Linked DNA regions of Alligator mississippiensis. The protein of the gene in region 4 interacts with the protein of the main gene of each other region in a pairwise test. Links are inferred from orthologs where the notes say so. Each region holds a gene or a part of one and is shown on either strand. Other genes may lie near its edges. The genes, in order: CSRNP1, TARBP2, SSNA1 and TCEANC.

The links.
Region 1: the proteins of TCEANC (region 4) and CSRNP1 interact in binary tests that used the Homo sapiens proteins (3 or more experiments, as listed by UniProt). The two-hybrid records come from large-scale screens. The link is inferred for Alligator mississippiensis from reciprocal best matches to the Homo sapiens genes TCEANC and CSRNP1.
Region 2: the proteins of TCEANC (region 4) and TARBP2 interact in binary tests that used the Homo sapiens proteins (3 or more experiments, as listed by UniProt). The two-hybrid records come from large-scale screens. The link is inferred for Alligator mississippiensis from reciprocal best matches to the Homo sapiens genes TCEANC and TARBP2.
Region 3: the proteins of TCEANC (region 4) and SSNA1 interact in binary tests that used the Homo sapiens proteins (3 or more experiments, as listed by UniProt). The two-hybrid records come from large-scale screens. The link is inferred for Alligator mississippiensis from reciprocal best matches to the Homo sapiens genes TCEANC and SSNA1.

What each region holds. Positions count from the first base shown.
Region 1 is NC_081828.1:209,389,883-209,397,539, forward strand, and holds the start of CSRNP1 (cysteine/serine-rich nuclear protein 1), read right to left. Parts: upstream 3,008-7,657; 5' UTR 2,924-3,007; intron 1-2,923. UniProt on the Homo sapiens protein: Binds to the consensus sequence 5'-AGAGTG-3' and has transcriptional activator activity. May have a tumor-suppressor function. May play a role in apoptosis.
Region 2 is NC_081838.1:8,695,215-8,702,131, forward strand, and holds the start of TARBP2 (RISC-loading complex subunit TARBP2), read right to left. Parts: upstream 3,011-6,917; 5' UTR 2,917-3,010; coding exon 2,858-2,916; intron 2,494-2,857; coding exon 2,324-2,493; intron 2,234-2,323; coding exon 2,128-2,233; intron 1,736-2,127; coding exon 1,652-1,735; intron 1,503-1,651; coding exon 1,328-1,502; intron 1,101-1,327; coding exon 983-1,100; intron 516-982; coding exon 388-515; intron 307-387; coding exon 114-306; intron 1-113. Other genes in the region: pleckstrin homology domain-containing family A member 3, read left to right, coding at 3,765-3,804, 4,288-4,404, 4,662-4,817, 5,217-5,353, 5,640-5,810, 6,115-6,158, 6,392-6,525, 6,849-6,904. UniProt on the Homo sapiens protein: Required for formation of the RNA induced silencing complex (RISC). Component of the RISC loading complex (RLC), also known as the micro-RNA (miRNA) loading complex (miRLC), which is composed of DICER1, AGO2 and TARBP2.
Region 3 is NC_081835.1:47,569,349-47,576,590, reverse strand, and holds the start of SSNA1 (microtubule nucleation factor SSNA1), read right to left. Parts: upstream 3,001-7,242; 5' UTR 2,946-3,000; coding exon 2,894-2,945; intron 2,797-2,893; coding exon 2,597-2,796; intron 1-2,596. Other genes in the region: ANAPC2 (anaphase-promoting complex subunit 2), read left to right, coding at 3,037-3,123, 3,936-4,558. UniProt on the Homo sapiens protein: Microtubule-binding protein which stabilizes dynamic microtubules by slowing growth and shrinkage at both plus and minus ends and serves as a sensor of microtubule damage, protecting microtubules from the microtubule-severing enzyme SPAST.
Region 4 is NC_081824.1:324,616,350-324,623,728, forward strand, and holds the start of TCEANC (transcription elongation factor A N-terminal and central domain-containing protein), read right to left. Parts: upstream 3,009-7,379; 5' UTR 2,922-3,008; intron 1-2,921.

The DNA.
Region 1 (7,657 bases), on a different chromosome or scaffold from region 4:
CGGAAGAAGGAAAATTATCTGCCACTGCTCTCCGTGCAGATGAAATGAGCTAAAAATGTGTGTGTGTGGAGGGGGGAGATACTAAGGGGTGACAAAGTTATTTGAAATATTTATTGCGTTGTCAATTCATAAGTAGAGTTCGTGCAAACACGATTCTCAATTAATGGGAAAAAGCTTTTAGTGAACTGCTCCCTCCACCCATTACACATTAATTCTAACCCCCTTCTCCCCCACCCCCCACCCGCCTCCTCTTTTCATGATTTTGAGTTGGAACATTTCCCAGGTACCGTTTTCAAAACCTTTGCATGAACTGTACCAATACTGTCTCCCCTACTGAAAAGTGTTCAACTGAGAGGACGGTCATCCTTTCCACAACACCCCCAAGCATCTGAGAGCAGGATTTGGGCTAATGGATTGAATAGTGCCTCGAAAATTTCTCTCTCATAAAACACTGGCTGCTCAGCCAATAAAACTAGAAAACCAATTCATAACCGGTGAGGATATTTTAATTGCTGTGATTCCACAATTCTCTTTTCTGCACAGGACGTAGATAGGGATTTAAGATGAAGCCATAGAAACTGCAAACAGCAGCTTGGGGGGGAAAAAAAAGCTTCTAAAATTGCAGTTACAAAGTCTGCAAGTCCTGTATGCTATGGGAGGGGTTTTACCTTTTTTTAAAAAATATAACCTGAAATAAAATAATCCCATCTTCCTTTCACTGCCAAAAAGACATTCTGTTCTTGGCTACAACTTCTTACTCATCTATTTTACTGAAAACAGCTTTTTGAACAAGTACATAATGCAATGGATCAAACCCACAGGAATTCCTCTCTGGCATCACAACTCCCACTATCCTGGGAATACTTTCTAACAAATATTTAGCCCAGATGTGCATTCCTCCCTCTCTCTCTCTTTAAAACATCAAACTTGGGGAGGAGGGAGGAGAGGGGGTTATATCTAGTGGGGAGGGGGAAGCAAACTGCAGTCTGCTAAATCCTATTCCTGGCTCTCAGCAAGTTGCAGGGTGAAGCCCTAATAAAACATTAATTCCTTGCATTCCAGTGTAACTACCCTACTCCTGGGCGACATGTCAACAGTGAATATTTCGAGTCATTTCGATTTAAGAAGGTTTGGCATTTGTCTAGCCAGCCAAAGAGGAAAGCAACCAAAAACAGTACCAGGGCTAGTTTAGTCTATTTATAACAAACTTCACATTGAAACATTAGGGCTGTATATGCAACTCACTGTTCCTTTTTGTTGCTGGAGAGGAAATTATTTACATGATACTTTTGAGGCCATCACACACGGCTACACTGTGTATGAAGCAGGGGGCACTGCAGCAGCCACGGGCATAAAAACTCAGAAACTTCTGATGTTCAAGCCAGTAGTTGTAATTTCGGCATCTGCTAATCTCGGTGGCCGTAAACTGGCCCCGCGCTCCAGAAACCCTCTCCTGCAGTGTTTATCCACCGACAGGGGTATTTTAAAATTTAGTCTTATGTTGGGAGGATGCCAGAGCCTGGATAAATGCAGAATTGGTGCAGAAGTAATGGGAAGCCAACTTTATTCTGAAAAGCAGCTTTGTAAAATGTAATGGACTTTAAAGATCTTCTTGTAGAAAGCTTTCTGTCAAAGTCTGCACACTTCGCAAGCAAAAAAAAAAGATGAGCCCCCCTCCCCAATAACATCAGCCTCAAACATGGGAATCAGGGTGGATTCCTTCTGCCTGTGAAGATTTTCTGGCTGAAAATTAGTTACCAATTCTGTTCATGAGTCAGATTAGGATCCAACTCACTTCCCCCGAGCGATGGTAGCTGTGCAGGTCTGACAGGAGTAAATATTAGTTTAAAAACAACCACACACATTTTAGTCAGGCATGACTGAAAACACTCCTGGAGCAAGGCTGGAGAACGAAAGTGCAATTGTTACCGTCTCTTTTCAGACTAGGTGGCACTCATCTACATGCTGCTGTTTACTGAAGGTCAGATGACCTTGGTATCTCGCATTAGCAGAAATTTAGTGTAGAGCACTGCTTTTCATTGCGCTCCCTGACACCCTCACAGGACGCTTTCGCTGCAGCCTTTCGATTATTTAATAATCATTACTCTGCCCCTGGTTCGCTGCGCAGTCATTCAAGCTCTTTTAATAAGCTGAGTATTTACTCAAGTGGTTTCCATAATGCCACTGTGATATTCTTCACCCTTACAACCGATTTTGATTTACGATTTCTGGGAAAGCGCCCATAAAAAGAGCCAGCCTCGATATAGACGGGGAAGCGTACAGCCAGGCGCAGTCGGCTTGCCCGCAGCTTCCCAAGAAACCGAAGCCAGGCTTTCCCGTTCAGACTAGATCATTTTAACTCAGCCGGGTTTAAGGTTTCATAACCTCCCTCTGGGTAAAAATAGACTCTTGCCTACCAGGCGATGGCAAAAGCTGAATTATTCAGTGCCACCGAATAAAAGCCTGAGTCAGTCTGGAGCGTCAAAAGTTTATGCCTGTGGCAGTGACGGAGCCGGGGAAGTACATCGGGAGCAGGAGGATTTAGGCAGCGCGCGCCGGCCCCCGCCCCCAGCCCCGGGCGCGCCAGAAGATGGGTTTGCCATTTGCCCTCCACACACCCCTGCTTTCTCGGAAAGGGCCACGGCCGCACGCGCACAGCGCCCAGCAACACCGCGTACAAAGGAGGTGCGAGTCCCGGCGCTGCCGGCACGGACAGCGCGAAGTGCGCTCGGCCTAGGAAACTCCTCGTCCGCTCCCACCCGCGGCATGGTCCTTCCCGTTTGTTCTCCGAGGGGAGAGGAGAGGCACAGCCCGGGCATCGCCTCGGCTCCCGCACCCGCAGCCGCAGCCTTCCCCAGCAGGCTCGCACCTGTCCCGTCCCCGCCCCGCAGCCCGGACCCCGGACCCCAGACCCCGCACCTACCGGGACGGAGCGCGGCTCAGCTCGCACCGCGCGCGGCTGCGGCAGGTCTGAGCGCCCGCGCCTGGCTCTGCGGGCTCCGCGCTGCGCCCCGCCCCGCCTCCGCCCCCGCCGCCGCCGCCGCCGCCGTCACGGGAAAACTCCGGGCTGACGCAGGCGGTGACAGCCCCGCGCATCCTGCTCCTCCCCGGCCCCGCCGCGGCGCTCGGCCTCCGGGGGAGGCGCCTGGAGCCCGCGCAGCGCCGCCCGGCCCAGCCCAGCCCGCCGGCCTCAGCTTGCCCGCCTGCGAAATGGGAGCGCACGGCCTGGCGCGGCTTGGGCTTAGCCTGCTCTGGCTCGCGGCGGGGGGCGACTTCAGCTCAGCGAGCGGGGGAGAGCGGGGGTTTCTTCTCCCTTCCCTCCTCTGCTCTCCTCTGCTTACACACACACACACACACACACACACACACGTTTCTTCTCCTTTCCCTTCCTCTGCTCTTCTCTGCTTCCAGGGAGACACACACACACACACACACACACATATATATAGGGGTTTCTTCTCCCTTCCCTCCTCCGCTCTCCTCTGCTTACACACACACACACACACACACACACACACACACACACACACACACACACACACACACACACACACGTTTCTTCTCCTTTCCCTTCCTCTGCTCTTCTCTGCTTCCAGGGAGACACACACACACACACACACACACACACACACACACACACACACACACACATATATATAGGGGTTTCTTCTCCCTTCCCTCCTCCGCTCTCCTCTGCTTACACACACACACACACACACACACACACACACACACACACACACACACACACACACACACACACATTTCTTCTCCTTTCCCTTCCTCTGCTCTCCTCTGCTTCCAGGGACACACACACACACACACACACAGGGGTTTCTTTTCTTTCTCCTCCTCTGCTCTCTCCTCTCTGCTTCCAGGGAGATGCACACATATATATCGTGAGTGTGAGGACTGCCTGTATATATATATATATATATATATATATGTGTGTGTGTATACATATATATGTATATATATACAGGCAGTCCTCAGACTCAGGACACAGAACTGCCTCTTAAGTCGAAACATTGTAACTCAGAACTGATTTTCCCATAGGAAACAATGTTATTAATGGAGGATTGGTTCCTGAACCAAGGCCAGATACCCTATTTTCACCAAAAATAACACAGAATTTTGTAGTCAATCAGTTATAGGTAAGTAATATAGCTACATTAATGTGTTTATATTGTAAATAGGAATCCTATTGATTTGGAAGGACTTCTTTGAGGAGACTTTGCTGGACTTTTTGAAGGCCTCTTGGCTGGAGTCTTCTCAGGAGTTGTGGCTTCAGGTTTTTCTGGAGTCTTGTCTGCTTTCTTAAAGAAAGTGTCCAAGGAAGTTTGGACAGATGAGAGATAGGGGACGCAGCAAACTTGTTCGCTGGCGTGGTGTGCCATTGGATCAAGCATTGTAAAGTCAAAACAGACGTCAGAAAGGTGAAACAGGGTGCCAATGTATAAACGTTGTAAGTGCAAAAGGTTGTAACTCAAAATGTTGTCTGTGTGTGTGTGTGTGTGTGTGTGTGTGTGTGTGTGTATGTGTATAGATATATATAATTTGTGTCCAAGGCCAAGTTAGCCAAAACTGATTCCAAATCCAAGAGTCCAGAACCGTAAGCGGCCCCTGAGCCGACCCAAGCAGGGTGTGGAGGGCTCAGGGCAAACCAGTTTGTGCAGGGCCCACCCCCATCCCGATCCCTGGATGCAAAGAAGCCGGCGGGGGAGGGCAGCGAGCAGCCAGATGCAAAGCCGGTGGCAGCAGCGCAGAGTTGCCACAGGCACTCCACCCAGCTCCACGTGGCCCCCCAAACCACAGGGCCTGGGGCTGTCCCCCTGATTTGCGCCCCCCAGGGATGGCCTTGAGTGGCCCTACTACTGGCAAACATCCTCCACCCTCACCTGGGGCTTCAGATGTTTCCAAAACCTTTGGTAGGCATCCTGCATGCAGGCCCAAGCCCGGAGGTTTGGGGTTCAGATGCCCCCGAGTTTTGCTTGCCCTCACCGTAAGGCCCTCAGAGCAAGCAAGGAAGGAGACTCCCATTTCCATAAACTGGATTTAAAGCCGCTGCATCTCAGCGGGTACCGAACCACACCAGGGGAGTTCTCCTGCAAGTCGGTTCAGGAAAACCGCTTCTTGGACACAGATACGTGGTATTTCCCCTGCCAGGTTAAGAAGCCACTACACTTGATGCTTTGAGGGAGAGACGCTTTATTTTGTGGACTCATAGACACTAGGGACTGGAAGGGACCTCGCAAGATCATCGAGTCCAGTCCATCGAGTCTGCAGGGATCAAGTGATCCCCACAAGATAAACATCCAGACGCCTTTTGAATGAGTCCAGAGTAGGTGCTTGACCTCCCTCCAGGGGAGTCTGTTCCAGACCCTGGACACCCAGAAGATGAAGAAGTTTTTCCTTATGTAAAATCTCAATTGGCCTTCTAGGAGTTTGTGGCCAGTAGAGACAGGCAGCTGCTTGGCTGGGGCAGCCGAGCTGCTGGAGTCGGTGGCTTCTTAAATCGTGACGTTGGCGTTCGTTTTCTTGAGGTCGGTGTGTCCGTGTAGCATTTCCTCCAGTCACCGCTGTTGCCAAGCTGGGAGAAAAGCATTTGTTTTGGGAGTCAAGAGCATCATCTGGTGCAGCAAAGTTGGTGTTTGAGGATCACCAGCTCAATGCTGACTGCAGCAAGGCTTTTAGAATTGACTTCGATGAACCACCCAGGAAATGCAGCTGCTTCAGGGGTGGAAGGAGGAAGGTAATGACAAGGAGGGCTGGAAAAAGGGCCTGGATGACAGAGAAGGACATGGGGCTGCATAGCCCAACTAAAGCCCTCTTTTCCTCCTGTTTGGAAAGACCCCATAAGTCACACAGCACTCACACTCCCCATGCCAAGGGCTGGGGGATGAAGCCCAGAGCTGAATGTCTGGTGTTTGGGAGACTCAGTAATCCAAAACCAAGGGTCATGCCATTAAACCAGAGTAAAACTGGTTAAAGAATAACACTGGGAGCTCCTTTTTATGGTGTAATGGGATGGAGTAGGGGAGTTTCAGTAATGCTGTTTTTCCTCTTTTTTTTTTGTTTATTGTTTTTTTTTTTTTTTGCTTGAGGTACCTTATCTGGAAGACTCCTAAAAGCAAAAGAAAGAAGCAAGGGGGGCTGCTCTGTTTCAAAGAGAACTGAGCCTGATGCCAGTCACAAGCCTGATGCCAGTCATATCTCTCAAGAGCGGGCAAACATCGACTGCTATGCCAGGCTGTGCACCACACGTTTTCACCACAGTGCAGCATTTAGGGTAGGAGATGGGGGAGTTCGCCACCCAAACCTTCAGCCTCTTCTTGTGACTTCAGGGTTAATGAAAGCTGTCAGTGGACTTTGCTGGAAACCTTTTATGGAGGGAGCAAGTCAAACTGGCCCTCCAGCATTGCTCAGCCCTGCTGTTAAATGCCCAATGCTTGCAAGCTTCAACAGGAGCAAGCAGGTTGAGAAGAGGTCAGGCTTTTCAGCAGGCAGTGTCACTAGGGGAAGGGTGTTGGGCAGTCCCAGATAGGATGGGCCGCCAAGGGTGGTGTAAATCTCTGTGAGGCCTGGATCCAATCCAGCAGACAAGTGCCTGTGGCAGCCAGACCCTAAATGATAACTTTGCGCCAACTTTGTGGAGTTCTCCTGCATCCACACTCAAAGCTCTTCTGGGCTGGCAGAGCCCTCCTGTCTGCCAGCAGAGTTAAACCACATCAGCTGCCTGGAGTAACACTTTGGCTACTGCCTGGCAGCTGGCAGAAAGCATGTGCAGACATCCTGGCACCGTTTAGCTTCTGTGGTCGCTTCAGTAGCTGGTGCCTTCCCAGGGTGTGCTCTGCACTTTGGCAGCCCAGCTCCCCAGTGAGGTGTGTGAAGGCACTAGAAGGGCACCGGGTGAGCACTCATGTTGCACCAGAAGCAGAAAAGTATAGACTGGGGTGGACAATTGTTTGGGCTGGAGGGTCACTTAAGGAATGTTAGGGAGCTGTAGAGGGTGTGGTGGGGATGAGAGGGGAGTGCTGACTCAGCCTTGGCCCCCTTCATGGCTGTTTACAGCACCCCATGCAGTGGGCAAGGGACCGGGGAGATGCCAATTGATTCTATCCAAACCTGGTGCCCGTCCACCACGCACCCACTGCTGGGTGCACCAGACAGAGTGGGCAGGTGAGGTCTCCATGGAAATTGGCCTGGGGCCCCCATGGGCAGGGCATGCTTGGCTGGGCAGACGGGATCGCGGACAGGGAGCGGCTTTCAGGAGTGGGATGTGCAGGCAGGTCCAGGGCTGGGATCACACAGCAGGGACAGCGCAAGGCCAGGCACAGAGCTGTGATCCGCCCCTTGCATGTCCCTGTGACGGGTGCCAGTTCCATGGGCAAGGGCCGGCCGCTGCCTGGGAAACTGGCACCCAACGCATGAACATGCAGGGAGTGGATTGTGGCTCTGCTTTGGCCCCCAGCCCCACCGTCACCACTCCACAATCCTGGCCCCAGCTCCAGTTGCCCGTCCCGCTCCCAGATGCCACTCTCTGCTCGTCCGTGGCCCCATCCCATCTGCCCAGCTGAGTGCACCTTGCATGTAGGGATCCTGGGCTGATCTCTATGGAGATCTCACCCCCCTCATGCTCTGTCCAATGCCCCTTGGC
Region 2 (6,917 bases), on a different chromosome or scaffold from region 4:
ACCCAGGAGCTAGTGCTAGGGGCAGGGATGGAGACACAGCCCAGAGGGGGTTGGTGGGAGGGAAGAAAGGGTCCTGGGGTTGGGGCTGGGAGGGTGCAGGGGGGAAACCTCACCAATGTCCAGGTAGCTGATGGCAAAGCTCTGCTCCTCGGACAGCTCCTGCAGCAGCCCGCAGTACCCGGGGCTGAGAGCGCCCAGCGGCTGGCTGCGCAGGTGCAGGATCTTCTCGCCCACTGAGTTGCGCAGGGAGTCCCAGGTGCAGCCGGGTAGGCGGCCACGTAGCCCGTCCAGCTTGGGCACTGGCGCCTGGCACAGGTAGAAAGAGGGGAGTGTGAGCTGCATGCCCATCCCCACCCACTACCCCATGCACCCCAGCCCTGCACTCACGATGGAGAACTGGTCGTCCTCGGCTTCGGCCTCACTGCCCTCGCGCTGCTCCATGGGCACATTGTGGATCCGCACCAGCATCTTGGCGGCTGCGTTCCTCTTGGCCAGCTTCTTGGAGGTGCCGCTCCCTGCAAGGTTGAGGAAGGTGGGGTATAATGTCGCTGCTGCGCACCTGGCAATGCAGGGTTAACTCTGGTACAGCGCGCAGAGAAGGCCGGAGTGAGGGGCATCGGCAGGGCTGGGGGGCAGGGAGCTGTGGGGAGGGAGGAGCAAGGGGCTGTGGGTGGTGAATGAGGGGCACTGGCAGAGGCAGGAGGCTGCAGTTTGGGAGTGAAGAGTAAGGGGCATTGGCAGGGGGGTGTCAGGGGCTGCAGGTCAGGAGGGAAGGGCACCAGCAGGGCCGGTGGGGGCAGAGGGCAGCGGGTCAGGAGTGAGGGTCACCGCCAGGGCTGGGGGGGCTGTGGGTCGGAAGTGAGGGGCAGCAGGAGGGCATGGGGTCAGTGCCCACAGGCCCCTGGTGAGCTCTGTTAACACCAGGGGCTGCGTGTCACTGGTCTGAGGCCAAGCCGGCCCCCGCCCCCCTGCCTGGGGTTACCGATCTCCATGAAGCGCTCGACGCGGCAGGTCATGGTGAACTCCTTGCGGTGCGCCGGCCCCGACTCCTGCGTCACCGTGTACTCGGGCAGGCGCCAGCCCTTCTGCACCACCAGCTCCTGGGGGCAGGGATGTGGGTGGGGTAAGTGGGCCCCTCCCTGGGACTCCCCCAGCCCCACCGGCCTCCAAGCAGAGCAGGTAGGGCAAACTGAAGCACAAAGACCTCCTGTCCTCCAGCTCCACCTGAGAGACCATACTCCATCCAGGTAGGAGACATTGCCTAGGCCAGGCTGGAACAAGGAGCCCAAGGGGATGAGGAACCCCAGCAGCCTCCCCCCCAGCCTACCTGCAAGGCACCCACAGGGTTACACTCGGACTGCTGGGGTGACACGGGTGCCTTCATCTCCAGCGGGGAGCTTCTGAGCGAGACAAGGGCAGGCGCTGAAGGGGCCCAACCTGCCCGGGCAGGCCCTTCACCCCGATCCCGGCAAGGGGCTGCTGCAGGGGTGGGGGATGAGCCCCTATGACAGACCCAAGGAAGCCCAAGTAGTAGTGGGGGGGAGACCCGGCCCCGTGGAGCTGGGGGGGGGCAGGTTTAGTCCCTGCAACGCCCTTACTCCACCCCTGAGAGTGCGGAGGGGCTCAGTGCCAACCCCAGGGCAGCCCTTACCTGGGCGAGGCAGCGGGCAGGGCGGGCGCGGGGGGGGCCACGGCAGGGTCCAGCGGGGGGAGGGGCTCTAGGGAGAAAGCAGAGCTTCGAAAATAAAAGGTACAATCATTAAAGCAGGCGGCGACCCCTGCCCCCCCACAGCTTGCCCTCACCTGGCGCGATGGCACCAGGACCCCACCCCGACCCACCCTGGTGCTAGGAGTACGGGCTGAGGCAAAGCCCGCTGGCACCCGGGACTCTGCCCAGCTCCTCCACCCCCACGTCCCAGCACCGCAGCTGGGGAAAGCGAGGCACGGGGCAGAGAAAGGACCCACCCGAGCTGCCCCCTGGGGGCAGAGACCCAGGTGTCCTGGACGGTCGGCTTCTTGCCCCTCCCCAAGACCCCCTGATCTTCCTCCCCCCCTCCCCCCCGGCTGGGTGGAAGGTGCTGGGAGGGGGGGGTCAGAGCAGCCCCCGCCCCCCCGCAGACCCCTCACCTGGGCTCCTCCGGCACCGCCGGCTCCAGCATGTTCCCCCCTTTCAGGAGCTTGAGGGCCACCTCCGCCGCCTTGTGCTTGGCTGCCTTCTTGCTGGGGCCCTGACCTGCGGGGGGCACAGAGCTGGAGCGGGGCCGGCACCGGGACACCGGGGTCCCAGCCGGACCCCGCCAGGCGGGGTGGGGGGGGCACTGACCGGTGCAGCCAATGTCGCCCACGGTGACGCGGAAGGTGAAGTTGGGCTGGTGCGCCTGCCCCTCCGCCTTCAGCAGGTCGTACACGGGCGTCTTGCCTATGCGCGTCCCATACTCCTGCAGGAGGCTGATGGGCGTCTTCCCCGGGTTGGAGGCCAGCATCTGCTCTAGGCTGCGGGGCGCGGAGGGGTCGGCCGGGGGCAAGATCCTCCCCCACCCCAGCAGCCCCAGGGGAGGCCCGATCCTGCCCCAGCAGAGCAAGGGGGCTGCCCCACTGTGCTCCCCGCCCCCCACCAAGAGTTAAGCCCCGCCCCCATGTTCTGACCCCGCCCCCTTGGAAAGCCTTGCCTTCATCGTGGATGCAGTCACGCCCCCCAGAGAAGCCCCGCCCCTCCAGAGAAGCTCCGCCCCCCGGAAGAAGCCCCGGCAACCTCATCCCGGGAGCAGCCCAGGCCCCGCCCCCGATGACGCCCCGCCCACGTGAGGCCCCGCCTCGGAGGAAGCCCCGCCCCCGAGGCTAGGCCCCGCCCCCGTACCTGGGGCAGGCGCCGCTGGCGGTGGCGCGGGGCTCCTCCTCCTCCTCGCCCTCGCTCATTCCCCCCGCCGGCCCCGCCCGCGCCGCCGTGCCTGCCCCGCACCCCGCCGGCCCCGCCGCCGCCCCCGCCAGCGCGCGCCGCCGCCGCAATGGCTGCGGGGGCCCTGGCGGGGGCGAGCGCGGGGCAGGCTGGGACAGCGAGGCCTCCTCGCGCCGGGTGGACTCGCCTGCCCGGCATGCCCCGCGCCCGAGCCCGCCGCCGCGCGGCATGCTGGGACGGGGAGGGCCGCGCGACCATTGGCTGGGGGGGAGGGGGGAGCTCTACAGGGGCTTCTTTGCGCGGCCGCGGGGCATCCTGGGAGCGGGAGTTCCGCTCAGCCTGAGGGAACGTTGGGCTGCGCTCCCGGCATGCCCCGCGCGGCTTGGCTGAGGAGCACGTGCGACTGCGCTACCCAGAGAGCTCCGCGCGCGCCGCCCCGGTGGATCCTGGGAACGGCAGGCTCCGGGGCCGCGGGACTTCCCTACCCACAACCCCCCGCGCGCCGTGGGGCCTGCTGGGAGGACTGCGTTGCCCACAATGCCCCGCGCGGCCGGAGGATGTCGGGATTGCGGCTTTCTCGAGAGAGCCGAATGGGGTCGGGACTACGCCTCCCACAGGTCTTTGCGTGCAAGGGGCGGGGCGATGGAGGCGGAGCCTTGCCATTGGCTGCGCGCGACCACTCTTCCCCGCCCCCTGCTCTTGCCTCCTGGTGCCCGGCTTGGCCCGCTGATTGGGTGCGTACCCCTTCGGGCCTCGCCCCCTGCGCCTGCCGCCCTTCTCATTGGCCGGCAGCAGTGGGGCCCGCCCCCTCCCCGCGCGGGGATTGGCCGGGCGCGCGGCGGCGCCTGGGCCGCGTCCTGCGCCTGCGATGGAGGGAGCGCTCTTGAAATGGACCAACTACCTGTCCGGTACCGCCGCCGTCCCGGCAGCCCCCGCGCCTGCCCCCGCCCTTTGACCTCTGCCCCGCCCTCCGCAACATCCCCCAGGCGGCCCTGACCTTTGACCCTTGACCCCGGTCCCTGGAAGGGAGCGAGGCTATAGTACTCTGCTGACCTTTGACCCCGATCAGAACACAATGCCCCCAACCAGTCCTGACCTGTGACCTTTTGAGCCCTACTACCCCCCCTGCAGTTGTCCTGCTTGCCCCCTCCTCTTCCCTGAGCTTTGACTTCTACCCCACTACCCCCAGCGGCACCAGGACAGCTGACCCCTGACCTTTGAGCCCTGCCCCCACCCAGAAACCAGGCGGGGCTCCGGTGCTCCTTCCCCAGCGGGGTGTGACCTCGGGGCCGGGGTCCCCCGTGGGACTGGGGCTGCCCCCCAGGTAGCGAGGAGGCGCCTGGGCTCCCTGCACCGGGGCACGACCCTCCTCTGCCTCCTTCCTCCCCCAGGCTGGCAGCCGCGGTACTTCGTGCTGGACAACGGCATCCTGTCCTACTATGACTCGCAGGACGACGTGGGCAAAGGCAGCAAGGGCAGCATCAAGATGGCCGTCTGCGAGATCAAAGGTGGGTGCAAGCCTGGGGACCCCCCCCCCCTGCCCCTGCTCCAGCCATTCCCACTGCAGGAGGGGACCGTCATGGCACGGGGTCTCCTCGGGCTGCCACGTTCCCCCCCAGACCCAGCCGCACCCGGAGTGCAGAAGTGCTGAGCTGGGTCTGGAGGCCGCGCGGGGCCCCAGGCATCCCGTCCTGTCCCTTGCTTGAGCCGCCTGTCGGCACTGGGACGGGAGCCCTGACCCCCGGTGCCGCCTTGTGCCCCGCAGTGCACCCCACGGACGCCACGCGCATGGAGCTGACCATCCCCGGCGAGCAGTACTTCTACCTGAAGGCGGGAGGCGCTGCTGAGCGGCAGAAGTGGCTGGTGGCCCTGGGCAGCTCCAAGGCCTGCCTGGGAGACAGCAGGGGCCAGAAGGAGAAAGGTAGGGCCGGGCTGGAATAGCACAGGGGGAAACTGAGGCAGGGTGGGGACACGCACTTGGTGCCTCCCCCTTGGGTCTTTTTGGGGGGGGGCTGCAGTATGGGGCAAAGGGGGTTGGGGGTGCCTGGCTGCAGTACCGCAGCGCAGCAGCAGGGGGCATTGTGCTGCAAGCTCCATCATTGATGTCTGATGAGCCCCTTCCACTTTCCTCAATGTGGGGCTGAGCTGCCCCCCTCCCCGGCCCTCCCCAGGACCATTTCTACCCACTTCCCGTCCCCTCCTGTAATGCACCCATTGCTACAGGTTGGAATGTTCCACCCCAGAAGTGGGTGCATCTCTGCCCCTACACGCTCTGCGGGAGGGGGCAGGGGCCAGGCTCACTGTGTCCATCACCTTCCAGACCCGCCCCTGAGCACCGAGTCGCTGGGCCGGAAGCTGTCAGAGCTGCGGCTGTACTGTGACGCGCTGACCCAGCAGGTGCTGGACATGCAGGAGTCCACGCGGCCCCGAGACGACGGCGCCCCGCTGGATGTCGAGGTGCCCGGGGGGAGAGGGGTGGGGGCAGCGTACCTGCCGCCACTTGCTCTGTCGGGGTGCTGGCAGAGGCTAGGTCCAACCACCTAAGCAGTGTCTGGCAGGGGAGTGGAGTATAGTGGCTAAAGCAGGAGTTTGGCGGGGGGCGGGTGGCATCTATCCCTCCTTTGCTCTTGGAAGCAGTTACCTGAGGCAAGCAGGCTCCCCTGCCCTGTGCCTCAGTTTCCCTGTGAACGAGAGGCTGGGTTGGGGGGTCGGGTTCCTCTCTGTGATGAGCTCTGTCCTCCAGAGGATGAACGAAGCCTCCTCCCTGCTCCGCGCCACCTGCAGCCAGTTCCTGTCCACGCTGGAGGAGTGTATGAAGTTCGCCAATGCCCGCCTGGCCCCCGAGCTGTACCCGCCCTCGCCCGCCCCCCTGCCCTCTGACTTCGTGGGTACCAAGCTCCCGCACTCCCACAGGGTAAGAGCAGCCCCCCCGGGGGTAGTCGGGGGTGCTGGGCTGCTGGGAGCAGGGTGCAGTTGGGGCACAGCCCTTGTGGGTACTGGGCCAAGCAGTGGCCCACCTGGTTACCCAGCATGCTTTGCTTCCTGGGCGTCTGGGGGAGTTATGGAGGTCTCTCTACCTGCCCTGCAGGACAGAAGTCTCCCAGCAGCTATTGAGGAGGGTCTGGGGGTGGGGCCTGGATTCGAACCGGGGGCTGGGCAGCTTCCACCTCCCATTGGCTCTGGTCCAGGGTGCTGATGGGCTCCTGCTGTCTCCACAGGTACGGCGGTCCCTCAGCCACACAGGCGTCGCGTCGCCCGACAGGTGAGAACTGGGCTGGAGGAGGGGGGTCCCCAAGTGGGCAGCTGTGGGCAAGGTGGGGTATAGGAGGGCTGCGAGGCATCCAGTGGCAACCCCCAGGAGCCAGCTGGTCTGGGCATGCCCAGAGAAGGGAGAAGAGCCCTGTCTTGAGCTCCTGACCCCTCGGACAAGGGGGGGGGCATGGGGCACCCCAGAGCTTTGTACCCTATGCCCAGCTGACATGCCCCCTCCTGCAGGGTGCTGGAGCCAGCTCGGGCCCGGGCCGCGCCGGCCCGGGGCACCATGACGGTGCTGCGCAGCCTGGAGGAGATGGTGCCACTCCGTGCTCAGCCTGGGACCCCCCCAGGCCCTAGCGCCAAGGAGTGGGGAGGTAGGCCCCAGGCGTGGGCCCTGGACCAGCTGGTTTCTGACCCAGTCTTGGGAACTGGGGGGCCCTGCAACCCTCCCCCCTGGGCATAGCTGCCCCCGGGACACGCTTAGCTGTCTCCAACCCCATGGCCAGGAAGGGAGCAGGGAGCCAGGACTCCTGGGGTCCATGCCTGGCTGGGCTGCCAACCTGCTTCGAGGCTGTGGGCAAGGTCTCTCCATGCCTCGGTTTCCCCTAGGATGGTGACCTGCTGGAGGCGTGGGGGGAGGGGCTGTGCCAGCCCTCCAGCACATGGGTCTCCCTAACCCCTCGCCTTGCCTTCCCAGAAGCTCCACTGCCAGCGCAGGAGACATCAGCGGATGGTGAAGCCAAGCGGCCGTGAGCCCCTGCTGAGG
Region 3 (7,242 bases), on a different chromosome or scaffold from region 4:
CTCCAAATCTCCTTGGAAGAGCCCCCCCACGTGGCATAGGGCAGCAGGGATTGCCCCGCCAGCAGGAAGGTGAGTCTGGGGTTTTTCTCATTTTTTTTTTTCTTCTTAAAGGGCCAGAACCACAGCGAGTAGAGCAGCCACAGGGAAGCTGGGGGGCAAAGGGGGGCAGAGGTTTCGTGCAGAGCCCCCCACGGGGCAGTGGGGAGCAGTGGGGATTGCTTCCCCAACTGGCAGCACCTGCTGAGTCGGGGCTTCTTTTTTTTCAAAATGCCGGGAGCTGGGGTGGGCTGGGAGAGCGGACAGGGGATGGGCCTGGGCCATTCAGAGATTTGACAGGAGCCAAATCTCTGAATCGATTTCGGGCAAATCAATTCGGGACAGTGATTCAAATCACCAAATCGAAACACTGTCCCCCGAATTGGCCAAATCCGAAGCGAATGCTGGCCACTTCACACAGGCCTAATGGCCAATAACGAATGCTCTTTCATGGCTTGCCAGTGAGACCTGTTTTTTAATTTCTACATAAATAAACTTGTATCTGGCAGCTGCATGGGTCTTGGACCCCCATGGGATTTTGCAGTTTACTTATCCCTCCTTCCTGCCAGAGTAGCAGTACCTGCTTGACCCACTTTCTGCAGACACTATCCTCTTTGCCCCACAACCCACATATCTGGAAAGGGAAATGTCTCCTTGCCCTGCTACATAGTTTTTCCAAGCTCCATTCGTTACACTCATACACTAAGTACTAAGGGACTAAAGCACAGTTCACACACAAGCCACAACATGATTGTGCCGTGACAACTGCAAGTGCCATGAGCTTTTCACACCCTTCCAGTCTTCCCATAACTCAAACATGGCAACACTGGAGAAACAATGCAAGGCAGCGCTTCTGCCATGACAACGCAACAGCCTTAAGGGTTCCCCTGGGGACAACACAGAGCTTACTCCTCCCAAAGCTCTTTGTCCCTTGTGATCTAGGACAGTGGTTCTCTACCTTTTTTGGACAAGGACCCATTTGTAAACATCAATGGCCAGGCCCAACCCACTGCCCCCCACCCCCAGGCCCCCAGTACGTGGGGCATGGGGGCCCCTAAGTAGCCCCTTGGAAGCTGGAACTCTGCCAGTCTGCAAGGGAAGAGCCTCGGTTTTCCACGTTTTTCTCCTCTAAAAGAGAATCCATTTTTTAAGTTTGTTGATCAATTTTTAAAGTTTGTTCACAACCCTTTTATATAGTCTTGTGACCAACTTTTGGGTCACAACCAACAGAGTGAGAAACACTGATCTAGGACAATCAGCAGCAAATGCTCTCTGAAGCCATAATGCTGCCTTGAGCACAGTGAAGGTCACTATGATCAGTAGTCCTCATCTAAAGAGGGGAAGGCTCAGAGGAGATAAGAGATTAAGAATGGGTAAGCTACTAAGAGTCGTGCCTGGAAGGCCACTGGGAGAGGGGCGAGGCAAACATAGAGAGAAAGACAGACCCCAGCACAAAATCCCACAGCAGTGAAGACAAGTTCAAGTTTCTTCTTCCTCCACTATTTTGATTTCCTTCACAACCCTTATTATTGACCATGATCCATGCTTGTACCCTGGGCTAGACAGAACCATTAATTCCTGGTAACTGTGGGTCTTCAAGAATTGACTCTCTACATTCACAGTTGTGAGACAGCACTCCCTAGGGTGAGCTCACAAGATCCTCCTCTAAGCCCTGTCCATTACAAGATGCCCAAGTACCCTTTAGCTGACTGAGCCATTTGGTGCACAAGGCTAAAGAAGGGATGCACAGCTACACTTGCTGCTGCCAGCTCTTCTTGACAGTGTGCCGAATTATGGCTATCTACAGCGGGGGTGGCCAACCTACGGCACGAGTACTGCAAGTTGCATGGGCATCCTTTGTGCGGCCTGTGCCGGCGGAGGGGTCAGGCAGCACAGCAGTAGATGGAGCAGGGAGCAGATCAGACTGGGATCACAAAGCAGAGAGCTGGCTGAAAGCAGAGGAAGAGACTGGGCACTGGGAGCAAAGGGCAGGGAGCAGAAGGCAGAGCTGCAGATAGGGCAGGGAAAGGGGATCAGTGACACCCAGGGAGGGCACGGGGCTAATCTGCGGCATAAGAAAGGTTGGCCCCGCACTACTCTAGAGCAGCGGCTCTCCAGGCCGGCCTGTCCTACCCTGCGGCCAAGGGGCCGTGCCCGCTTGCCGCCTGCGCCACCCTGAAAGGGCTCCATGCAGGCAGGGAGCCCCTTCCCCGCCCAGCCCCACTCCCGCCCCAGCCCCCCGCACCCACCTCGCAGCCCGGCCCATTTCATTTCAGCCAGTTTCTACCGCAGCTGTGATTTTCCCACGGATGGGGGGGCCCCAAAACTACATGCTGCAGCCCCCCCAGAATATCACGGTGCTTCTCAACCTTTTTTGTACCAGGCCCCATTTGTAAACATCAGTGGCCCGTCCCGACCCGGCGCCCTCTCCCCAGGCCGGGACCCCGGCGTGCGGGGCGGGCTGCAAAGGGAAAGTCCCCAGGTGCCGCTTCTGCAGGAGGAGGCGTGTTTGCAGCCGGCTCAGGGCGGTTTCCCGCGCCCCGCGGGGCCGAGGCGCTACCTTGCCGTAGGCCGCCTCGGTCTCGGCGATGGTGCGCTCGAACTCGTTGCGCGTGGCCATCTTGCGGGCCAGCCCCTCGTTGAGGCGGGCCAGGCGCTCGGTCAGCAGCCGGATGTCGCTCTGCAGCTTGCCCTTCTCCTCCTCCTCGCGCGCGATCTGCCGGCCCAGCTCGTCCCGCCGCGCGCACAGCTCCTCGATGCCTGCGCCACACGGGGGGCACGGCGCTCAGCGCCCGCGGCCCCCGCCACCGCCGCGCCGCGCCCCGGCCCCAGCCCCAGCCCCGCACCCGGCCCTCACACTTGACCAGCTCGTTGTTGTAGCTCTGCAGCGCCGCCCCCTGCTGCGCCATCGCCGCCCCGGCCCCGGCCCCGGCCCCGCGCCACCAACGGCCTCCTGCGCCCGCGCCGCCCCGCCCCGTCCCGCCCCGCTCCGCTCGGCCCATGGCGGCGGCGGCCCCCGGCGCGGGGCTCTCGGCGGGCTGGCACGCGCTGGGCGCCGGCCTCGTGCCGCCCGCCGCGCTGGGGCTGGTGAGTGCGGGCCGGGGGGCGGCGGAGCGCAGCCCCGCTCCTTCCCCGCGCCTGGTCTCGGGGGTTTTGTTTTGAGCCCCGCCGGGCGGCTGTGGGGCGATGCCCCGGCTCCCAGAGAGGGGCGAGCGGGCCCGCAGGCCTCGAGGGGGCGGGGGGGCGCAGTCTCTTGGGGCCTGGGGATGTCTTAGGAAAAGGCCCCTTGCGGCAAGTCACAGCTCCCAGCGTTGACATTTGTCACGGGATTTCCGCGGGGGCGCGAGGGGGGCGCGTAGCAGGTGCGCGCGCGGTCGTCTCCGACGTGGCCGCCGTTCCGGCCTCCTGCTCACGGGTACGTAAGGAGGGTGCCCCACTCCTTGTGCTCTGTAATCGCCCTCGAAGTGCAGCGATGCCGTGGAAGGCCTCGCCCTGACGGCCCTGGCGCAGGACATCCTCGTGTGCTGGCTCAGGCTGGAGAGAGCCTGGCAGTGGCCCGTGACCCGCAGAGGGGATGGAGCGGGGCCCGTTCGGGTCACGGCTCCCATGTCAGCTGGGGATGCAGTCGGCATTAATACCACAACAGCAGTCGCCCTTGTGATGTGAACAGCGACCCATTAGGAGTGGGGCTGAGACCTCCGCCCCTCTGCCCAGGAGGGATGCCGGATGCCAGTTAGTTGGTAGCTTTCAGTCCCTGCTATGCCCTACTGTGGACAAGAGCAAAGGGTCGGCTGGTGAGTGGCTCCATCTGTAGACTGCCCCCTGAGTCCGGTTGTCTCTCCAGCCTCAGTCACCCTTCAGGAGTCCCTGCTTTCGTTTACCTTGGTGTCTCTCTCTAGGCAGCACCCAGGTCTGGACCAGTGGAACCGCTGAAGGACAGCGACTTGCAGGCCGCTTTGGAAGTGCTGCGGAGCTATGACTTGCACTGTGTCATAGAGGAATGGTTCATTCAAGTTTTACAGACAGATCTTCAGACAAATATAGCTCCTGAATTCTGGAACTGCATTGGCCAGTATGAAAACACAGCTGAGGAGCCCCAGTGCTCCTTACTCCTCCTGGATGCTTTTTGTCTGCTCAAGTGCCGCCTAGACCCTTATCTAAACAGTCTAGATCTTCTGGAAAAATGGACCAAAGCAGGCTTGCTCCTTGGAACGGGTTCCCAGATGCTACGAGAGAAAGTGTACACCATGTTTAAAGCCATCCTCTTCTTCTCCACTACAAAGACCTTCCAGGAGATGATCCAGCAGTTCTACAGCCGCACCTTCAGGATATATATGCAGCAGTGGAAGAAAGGAGAAGATGGAATGAATGAGTGTGAGAGCAGTATGAGTGAAAATGATCAAGAGAGTGATACAGAAGAGGGAGGAGGAGACAGCCAGCAGTGTGCAGGCTGCAACAGTAAGAAAGACCAGTGCTGGTGTCCCACAGCCATGGAGCAATTTCAGCAGCTCAGTGAGATCCTGTATGTATCCTGGAGGGAGGGAGGAAAGGGATTTGTTGGACAGAATCAATATACCATTTAGAAAGTAGACTGTCTACAGGCCTGTCATGGGTATGAAAGTCAGAAAGGTCCATCCTAACCTAGTCTGCTTCTTGCAAGGCATTGTCCAGAAAATCTTGCCCAGTGATTTCTGCATCTAGCCCATAACCTGTGGCTGAGCTACAGCAGATCTTTGACAAACAGGAGAGTGGTCCTGGTAACTGCTGTGAGATTATCACCTCCCTTTAGGCTTGTATTCCCTTTGGGGACAATGATTCTAGGCGAAATATTTTCTTTTCCCCAGATGCTAAAGATCTTGAACCTGCTGTTGTGGTTCAGTGGTTGAATCCTTGTCTGCCACATGAGAGACCTGGATTTGATTCTTGGATGCACCTATAACTACAGCTGTCGAGGCACCAAATGTCCATACTGTCTGGCCTTTGGATACTGTCTCAATGGGCTAAAGGGGGAATAGAAGGTCTGGGCACCCCCCCACTTCTCCATACTTGTAGCCAAATGCATTGAAGGTCCTTGTGACCTCTTGCGCATACACTGGGATCCAGAAGGGTCCACGTTTGCCTACTAAAGATCTTGAAGAAGTTGGCCAAATTTCAAGGTACTAAATAGTGCACACATACCCTGCGTGTGTAGTGTGGCCTCGTTAATGCTTCTGTTGGGACCTTAAGGATGATATGTAAGAGGCACTACATAAGGCCTGAACAGGAGTTTAGAAAATATTTGCTTGTTTTTCCATTAGAAAGCAGTTCTTATCTGCAGTGTGTTAGCTAGAGGATATTACAAGCAACTGGAGAGCTCGTGTGAATATAACCAGGGATCCGGGTTTTCCGTTTCCCATGGAAAAACAGAAAAATGCAGTTTCCCCCTTTACCCAAGGAAAACATGGATTTTTCATTTTAATGGAGAAACCCACAGATTTTGCACTTTTGCAAAGAGCTCTCTGCAGGCTGGTAGAGTTCCAGCCTGCAAGGGGCTGGGGGGAGCAGCAGGAGGGTGCTCAGGCAGGGGGTGTCATGTGTATGTATACACACATGGCCACCAGGCAGCCTGGAGAGCTGCTCTGCAGGTAGGTCTGGCAGCAGCAGGGGCAGGGAAGAGCGGAGGGGGATTGAAGCCCCCATAGGGAAGGGGGGAGTTGGGTGGGGGTGAGGCTGGGGCTGAAGCTGTTGCCCAGCCAGGAGGGTGTGTGGGGTGTGTGGCCTGGGGTCAGAACGCGCAGCTTCAGGGCCCTGGCGAGAAGCGGGACAGGGCCTGTGGGCACTTCGTTCAGGGGGTGGGGCCAGCTCCCCACCACTGTGCGCGCTCCTTGCAAGACAGGAGGCTCCCATACCCCCCAGATCTGTGCTCAGGGTAGGGGATTTGGGCAGGGGCGGGCTGCCTGCTGTGGGCTTGGGTTCCCCACCCTGCTGCCCTCCCCTGGGACCTCCACAGCCTGGTGGGTGTGATCCAGCAGGGCAGGGCAGGGCAGAGCAGGGCCTCGTGGGGAAGTTCGTTGCTGCTGAGAGCTCCACACTGCCCTGGCAAGGCATCCCCTGCCCACATGGCAGCAAAGAGGGGTACAACCCTACACCACTGCCCTCGTTGCTGCCATGCAGGCAGGGGGTGCCTTGCCAGGGCAGCCCAGAGCTTGCAGCAGCAGTGAGCTTCCGTGTGTAGCCCCGCTCTTTTTTGCCACACTGGGTCACACCTGCTGGGCTGCGGAGAGCCTGGGGGGGGGCAGTAGGGTGGGGAGCCCAAGCCCGCAGCAGGCAGCCCATCCCTGCGCCATGCACAGATCAGGGGGCACGAGTGAGCGCAGCGATGGGTAGCTGGCCCCACCCAAGCCCACAGCTGGCAGGGGAGGGGGTGTGCTCCGCTTCACTCCGCTGCAGCAGCTGCCACCTCCTGTGGGTGGCAGCTGGGGCTGTGGAGCTGCTGCAAGGGGCAGAGCGCTGCGGACCTGGACCCCTGGCCCTGTAACCCTGCCAGCTGGGGGCCCACTCTGGTATGGCTAGGGGGGCAGGGGGCTGTGGGTGGGGGGTGAGGGACACCAGCAGGGCTGGGGGAGCTGTGCGGAGGAGTGAGGGGCACTGGCAAGGTCCAGCGGGCTGTGGGTGAGCATTGAGGAGCACCAGCAGGGCTGGGGGGGCTGTGGCTTGGGAGTGAGGGACCTGGACCTGTGTTCTGTGAGCTAAGGGGGCAGAGGGAGCTCTGATTTTCCATGATAACCCAAAATCAAATACCAAAATTTATAGGTGTTTAGAACTTATTTAATTATAATGATTGAGGCACAGGTAGGCTTCCAAATTCCTTTAAATGATAAATATTATCAAGAAAGTATTGTGTTCAACTGATACCTCTCTCTCGCTCTCTCTCTCTCTCTCTCTATTAGTGCCCTTTCATTTTAATCATGGAGTTTTAATAAGAAATTTTGCGGGTTTTTTATCAGACAATTTGCAGGTTTTTTTATTGGGGAAAACCAGGATCCCTGGATATAAAACAGCAAGCAAAAGTGGATCCTGAACTCTGGAAAGGTTCAGGGATTCCTATTCTGTTTAAAACCTCTGGCTTTTTATTTTTTATATCAACTTTATACAAGCTCCAGATAGTCCCTTTGCTGAAAATCTAGCCCTCCTCTCTTTACTTGAGGGGTGAGAGCTATCTCTCCA
Region 4 (7,379 bases):
AGGTTCCAGAATAGTAACTCACATATTAATAACTGCTGACTGTTCTTTTTGCAAGCTCTTTAAGACAAAGGACTTTCCTTGTATTTTCTGTAAAATACCTTAGCTACATATTAAGCTGCAGACATAATGCTTTCACAGGACAAACTTGCATGAGGTCTTATTTGCAACAAAATGAAAAATAAAGGGCATTAAGAATGCAGTCATGTGATTTGACTGGGGGGGGGGTTCTCATTATCTTCTGACAAAATTCAGAGTCCTTAGAAAAACTGTACAGCAGACTAGCAATACTAACATTTTCTCTGCTTTGATGTTGATCATAAGTTTAAACTTGATGAAATATAGTCTAAAGTGCACACCTGCCCTTGTAAGTTTAGTGAAAGAAAGACAGTTGCAGGGATCAATTGTACCAAAAGTAGTGTTTTATCCACGTATCTCTTCTCATGCTGGCCAGCCGAAAAAACCTGAGACTGACAGTAACTTCAATGAGTCCTTAAGAAACTTAGGTCTGTTACATACTTCCATCCTCAATCAAAGTCTCTCGCTGTAGCACTGTCAATGGTGAACTGATAGAATTCAGCAACACAACTTGGGATGGGCAAGTAGGCAGGGCTGGACATAGGCATGGGCAAGCCGGGAGGCCGCCTGGGGCCTGGACAGAAAGGGGGCCTGAAAATCAAAGACTTTTGCAACAAAAAAAACCCCTTATTTCTGGCAAAGGGGTGCCCAATACTAAAAGTTCGCCTGGGGCCTCCAGGAGTCTAGGTACAGCACACCAAGTGGGATACCATCCCTGAGTGACAGATTAGTAGGGGTGCCAGTATCACCCCCACCCCTTTGGAGTCTCAGCAGGAGAAGCAGCCCCATGTACAACATCACTCTTGCAACAGCAGCTGGGTGTGTGGACACCATGCTGCTGCTGTAAGAGCAACAGCCAGGGTCACGCTGTTCCCCACTCCCATGTGCTCTCTTGGAGGGTTTACCCAGGGCGTAAGCCATGCTCATTATGCCTCTGATAGAATTCACATACTCTGCAGCCCTATGCAGGCAGAAACCACACTTCCTAGTCTGATTTATGCTCCTGATCAGCCTCCATGCTCTCAAAGGCTGTTTTCAAAGGCTGGGAGCGGGGAAAGGGCTGAAAATGAGAGAAAAAAATGATTGGGGAAGACAGAGTGAGGGAGAAATCAAAGAGAGACATCTGAAGGACTCTCAGAGATGACAAATGGTTAGAGGAAATGTGAGGAAAGAAAGACATGGAAAACATGACCATCAAGAACTACAAGAAAGAGGGATGGTCAGATTTTCTTATCTTTCCCCCCAAGTGCCATTCCCTTTGGTTCAAGTCTCCCTTTTAACCATCATAAATATTCCCAAAACAGCCTACATTGCCTGAACTTCTCCTGGAGCATACATTCTAGTTTTTCACTTTGAAAAACACTCACTTTGAAGATCAGCTGGACAGAACAAATCTACTGTGAAGGCTCTTGTGATCTAACTCATGACATTTTTCAGAATGAAAGAAAACTCTGTAGGCACACAGAGTACACATTCATAAAGTGGAGGGAGTTAAAGACAGTCTTGAAGCAGACAGCACCAGGGAAAATGTAGATTGAAGTGAATATACAAATTATTAACAATCTACACAACTGTTCACCGGGAAAAACTAAAGCAAGAAGCTCAACTATTTTTGTAGACGGAACCCATCAATACGCTTGATGGAACTTTTCAACTTGTAGAGTTACAAAGATAATTTTCTGCAAGTGAACTAAATGTGAACCTTTTAAATGTGAAATTATGTAAACTAGCAGTTCCCAATATGTGGTATGCATATAACCACTGGTACTCAGACAACCTGTCAGTGGTACCCGTTAGCAGATTTGTTATAATTTCTTTATATGACAAAAATTTGCAACAAAAGGTTGAACTGAAAAATTTGCTGGTAGTACTTAGGTTGTATCTATTTAAACTGGTGGTACACAATCTGTCAGTGTTTGGGAACCACTATTGTAAACCAATGCAATGTTGTCTTTTGAGCCTGCAAACTCCACAACTTACAGGATGTAACAAGACATTATTTATTAGGTTTTGTTTTCATAAGTGTGAACCACAGCTCAGTCTTCTTCCTAAACTGACAGATGTCCTCTACTAGCAACCTAATCTGCCCCCCACGATGTTAGATTAAAATGAATTGTGATTTTGATGTGTATAGCCACAACTGAAAGGACTCTCAAGCATACTTCTGAAAACCTCCAGAAGAAAAGACCAGATATATTTTTCAGTTACATTAGTTGAACTGCACATATAAGTCTCATGTTTGGTTTGGAAGTGCATGCAGTCTGAGACAGTAGGAATCTTTGTTTGTTAACATAATGAGCCCAGTATCACACTTGATGAGTTTCCTGTTTTCCATAGATCAAACAGTTGGTGCTGGAAGAGCAGATAGAGTTGGTGACCTTTACTGCTGGTCACGGGACATGTGGCATTAGCTACATTACCAATTCAATATGCCTTGTCCTGTACTTTAGGATCATCAAGGATCCCACTAATATCCTCACCTCCGTTTCCAAACATAAGCATTTCCAACCTTTTTACAAGAACTGCAAATACAGGCTGCAGTATGCTGCTCCGTGCTATAAAATGCACAAATCCTATATTCGTGCTTTTAATATGTACATGCACCCAGGCAGTACTTAAAAACACTTACAGGTTTTTGGAATCTTCCAGGTGCACAATGACTTTTGCAGGACTAAAAAACTAAACTCATCCAGGATTTACAAGATTAAGCCTGTCTAAGAATTTACAAATCATAGCAATAGCCAAAGATAAAAACAGATCATGGATTACAAGTAACATATAATGTCTTGAACAACTACATGAGGATTTCTTATAATCTTAAAGAGTTTAAATGATAGGCTACTTACACATAAAGCAAAACAGGCATGTTTTCTGGAAGCTTTTCTTCATAGGATGATATATGAATTTAATTAACAGTAAAAAAGAACTCATCTGCTGCCAAAGAATCTATGTAGCAAAGCTAAACAGAAGAAACAGAGAAGTTAAAGCAGAATTTTACAAACATGTACAAAAATTAACTAGAGCCCAGCTGATGTGATCCCAGAAGAATAAATGCATTTATTCAAGTGGGATATTTATTACCAAGTGAAATAAAAGAAACCCTCACAAGAGGATGCCATTTAATCAAAATATCTCTTCATTATGAAGATAGAAGTAAGTTCTCATAGGAAAACAACAGTTAGCAAGGCAAAGGGAATGTCTAAAGTTTCTCTATCATTATCAGCAAATGATTTATCTTGGAACTTAATCAAGTTAATAAAATACACTCCATTAAAATAACCTTCAAATTAAAACAGCAACTTTTTATAAATGACATGGGCAATCAGCGTCTTCAGGTCACATCTAGTACTGTAAGTAAAAACGAAAATGTTGTAAGTGAACACAGCCATCCCCACATACAAAGGAAACACATTTGGGGGATATCTAATCGCTATTTTCCTATTGTTCTAGTGTATCAGGTTTACCAAGTAAATTAATTGAAGCATCTGTTAAATGCCCACTACTTCTAGACATTTAACATATACTGCCATTAATCTACTTGGCTGGACACTGTGTTCAATGAAGTAAAGTTTAAAATAGTGTTCAGAATTGAAGTGTTAGTTTATTTAAATTACAGCAGCAAGAAGGTAAATATCATGAGGGACCTATGACAACATTATTTTTAAATGCAAAGAAAAGGACAAAAGCTTTTCCCAAAATCAGGAAATCAGAGGTAGTCAACAATTACCCCAAATACTCTGCCACAGGCAAATGACTAGCCTTTATTATGTTCCTTCCACTCAAAAAAGACAAATGGGCCTCGTATCATGTCCTGAATGTCACAAAAGTTTTAGAGCAAGAGAATGGAGTGAATGTCAACATCCCTTCTCACTTTGGTTGCCACAGGTTACTGGTAAACCAAGTTTTTCCACCTAGCAAGAACAAGGACAGAAGAAGAAATATAGAGACTATTTCATAACTGAGGACAAAAGATCAAGATAAAGCAACAGAGGTGCATGGTAAGGGAACAGTATTCTCCCTCCAAGCTCTCTGGAGATCAGGATAACCAGCTTACAAGGATGGCTATCATCTAAACCTGCCCCCCTACTCAAAACTGCACCATCATGTAATACCAGACATGTACCAGGATCAAATGCTACTTACCCTAGAGCAATCCTAACACAAACAGAAGATCAAGAAGGACAGACAGCCCTCCGTATCTGAGATGGCTCCATTTCAGTTTTGCTAAATATACTTAGTTTGTGAAAGGTCCTAAGATACTTTAGGATGAAAGTAATGTATAAAAGATAAAGCTCACCCCAATTGTTGCATCAATGTTTTATTAAAGTAAGAGGCAATATTAAAAAAAACAAAAAACAAAACATGACTGGTATTAGCATAATTACTGCCTTCTAAATTGTGCCATGACTCTGGAGTTCAAATGCTTCCTTTGACAAAGAAGAATAAGTATGTCAAATTCTGTCATGGCTCATATGTTAGCAAATGGTGAGTCATGTGTTCACTGAAGTATGAAGTGCCTGAAGGACCACGTAATTTTCTACTGGAGAATTCCTCCAGAAAAGCAGTTAAAAGTTTATTTGAATGGGAAGGAAATGGGGCTGTTTTTGAAAAGAACATGTCTTTAATTCTGCCTCTGAACTTGAAATACTGGGACACCCACAAAGACAAGGGTGCTTGGTAATTGCCCAAGGATCTATGCTGCTCCCAGAGCAGCTATGCTGCAGCATGATCCCTGCCAGCCACTGCAAAAATCTCCCCTCTTAATATATTTGTAGTGACAAAGGAGGAGTTATTGCTAGTTCAGTCAATTTGGGGTATATTTTCTGACAAATCTAATCAGGACCCAAGAAGAGGGCCCACTGTGGCAAAAGTTTGTCAATCCCTGCTTTAGAGAACTCTGTCTGAGATTTTAAAATACAGAACTGGATTTTGTTATCACCAGAGGGAGCTGTAGTATCGTAAACCCATGAACTCTTGTTAAAAATGCACACTGCATTGACTTCCCTAACTAGCCTTAATGCAGCTGGCAAGGGAAAGAAAAAGCAAAGGATGAACATTTCCTGTATTCCAGAAGCTTTTTATGTCTAATTTATTAGAGACCTTACTTGTCCAAAGTTGGTCTCACAAATAACAGGTTGAGATGTCTTCCAGAAGGTCTGAGGTGTTGGGATATGAACGGAAGGGAAGACAGGCAACTCATCCAGTCACAACCATCTATCAAATAGCTTTTGGGGAATTTCAAAAATTCAAAGGCTAGTCAAATACTGTTTGCAGATGTTATTCATCAAATGCTGGTTAAAATCACTGAATAATATATTCAGTGGATATTAATTTTTCTGTTGTTTGGGCAGCCCTGGTAGTAAGGTATATTGAGGATACCCCATGTTCTTGGGAACAATAACTATGCCATTCATTCTCTGTGTATGAAAAAACATAGCCATTTTGGGTGCTACTTCATGTAAAATAACAAGATAAAGGTAGCAGTGCTATAATGAAATATTCTGCTGAATATGAAAATATTGCATTTTACACATAGAACCAATGACATTCTCACAGGCAGATCTTGCACCCAGAAACTTATCCTGCATCCAGTATCCTCTCCTTCAGTCAAGAAGGGGATACCGGAGATATCAGCAAAATGGTATTTCCTTAGGCTAATCACCACCACCACTCAACAGTAGAGACTGTTCACAATTTCAATTCATACCAATGTCTCCAAAAACCGCATTAACATTAATACCAGATGCTTGGACTGTTCCTTGGGTTTCACCTCACATTCTTGTACTTTCCAATTATTTCATAGCATTTCAGAGATTTTGTTGTCAACATCACTGAGCTAACTGAGGCAAAGATTCACATCTGTCTTGTTGTGGCTGTGATGGTCCAGGAAATATATGAGAAGCAAGGTTTTATTGCTCATATCTTTTATTAGACCAACTGTATAGTTGAGAGAGATGTTAGATGAGCCTTTGAGAACAAAGTGCCCTTCTTTAAGTTTGGTAAAGAAGCTTAGGCTGCCTTGGTCCTAATTTACAAAAAAGTTTTTAACAAATTAAGTCTCAGATACATTAAAGTCCAAAGTCTATTCTATAAGCCACAATGATTGCCCTAATCCTCTTGGAGGAATGAAAAGCACAAAAGCAGGTGAAAGCTGGGGACACAGTATTATTTTTAGATAGAACCAACTCAGCTACAGGAAACACTTCCAGAGACAAATGGGTAAATATGGTCTCATTAAAATCACCGCAAAGTATTTCCCTTTGAAAAGACCTTTCTACCTTAAGAGTGAAAGTGACAGTAGGGACATACCGTCTAACAAACTAACAACCAAAAGGAGAGAAAAAAAGAATTAATAAAATCTAAAAATCAAACTCCAAGCCCCTTCCCCAAAACGGAGAACTGTCAAAGACTTCACTATTGATACTGATTTTATACAGTGGAGATAGATATACCAGAGGTAAGCACCAATATAAAACCTTAAAATAGGTTGTGATTCTGTCCATTTTGGAAACTAAGTATGATAGTTATAGTAAATATTCGAAAAGCTATTCAGGATAATTCATCCAAGGAAGTGAGATCAGCCTTTTCTATTTATTTTGTGCATACATGAAGTTGCTAGGCTAAACAGGTACACAGAAAAAAATGTTCAGCTGCATTATTTATGGTCACACATGAAATTACTGTTATACAGAAACCTAGTAGATCATCCAGAATAAACTGCTGGGTAACTGAAATGTCACATTTGCTTCTGTCTGAAAAATGTGTGAGTAGGAAGATGGAGGAATATTTGTTTCCATGAAAGGCCTTTATTGATGAGATCTCTGTTGAAATTATATTTAAGGATTAATATGTTTAATCCTCAAATTACTATTTTTCTCATGTTCAGAGCTTTGATGGCAGCATTAGGCATGGATATATTTGAGAGGATATGAGAATGAGAATAGCAATAGACATGTACCAACTTCCATATTATTTAATTATAGGTAAGGAAATTACTTCTCTTGCAATTCTGCTTCTTAAAAGATAAATTTCATTGAGCTCTTATTCTTGAACACCTCATCTGAACCACTCTCAGATGCTGGTCCCTGCTTGACCTTGGCCCCATCCCATCCACCCGGCTGAACATGCCCTTTCATGGACTGCCAGGGTGGATGGGCAGGGGTGCTCAGACAGCAGGGCCAGGTCTGGTGGTGGTGGCAGCAGAGAAACTGGCAGCAGCAGCCAGGCCGAGTGAGCTGCCATTGCAAGGGATGCCAGGAAGCTAAATCCAGCCATGCTGGGGACATGCCTGGGGGCAGTGGGAC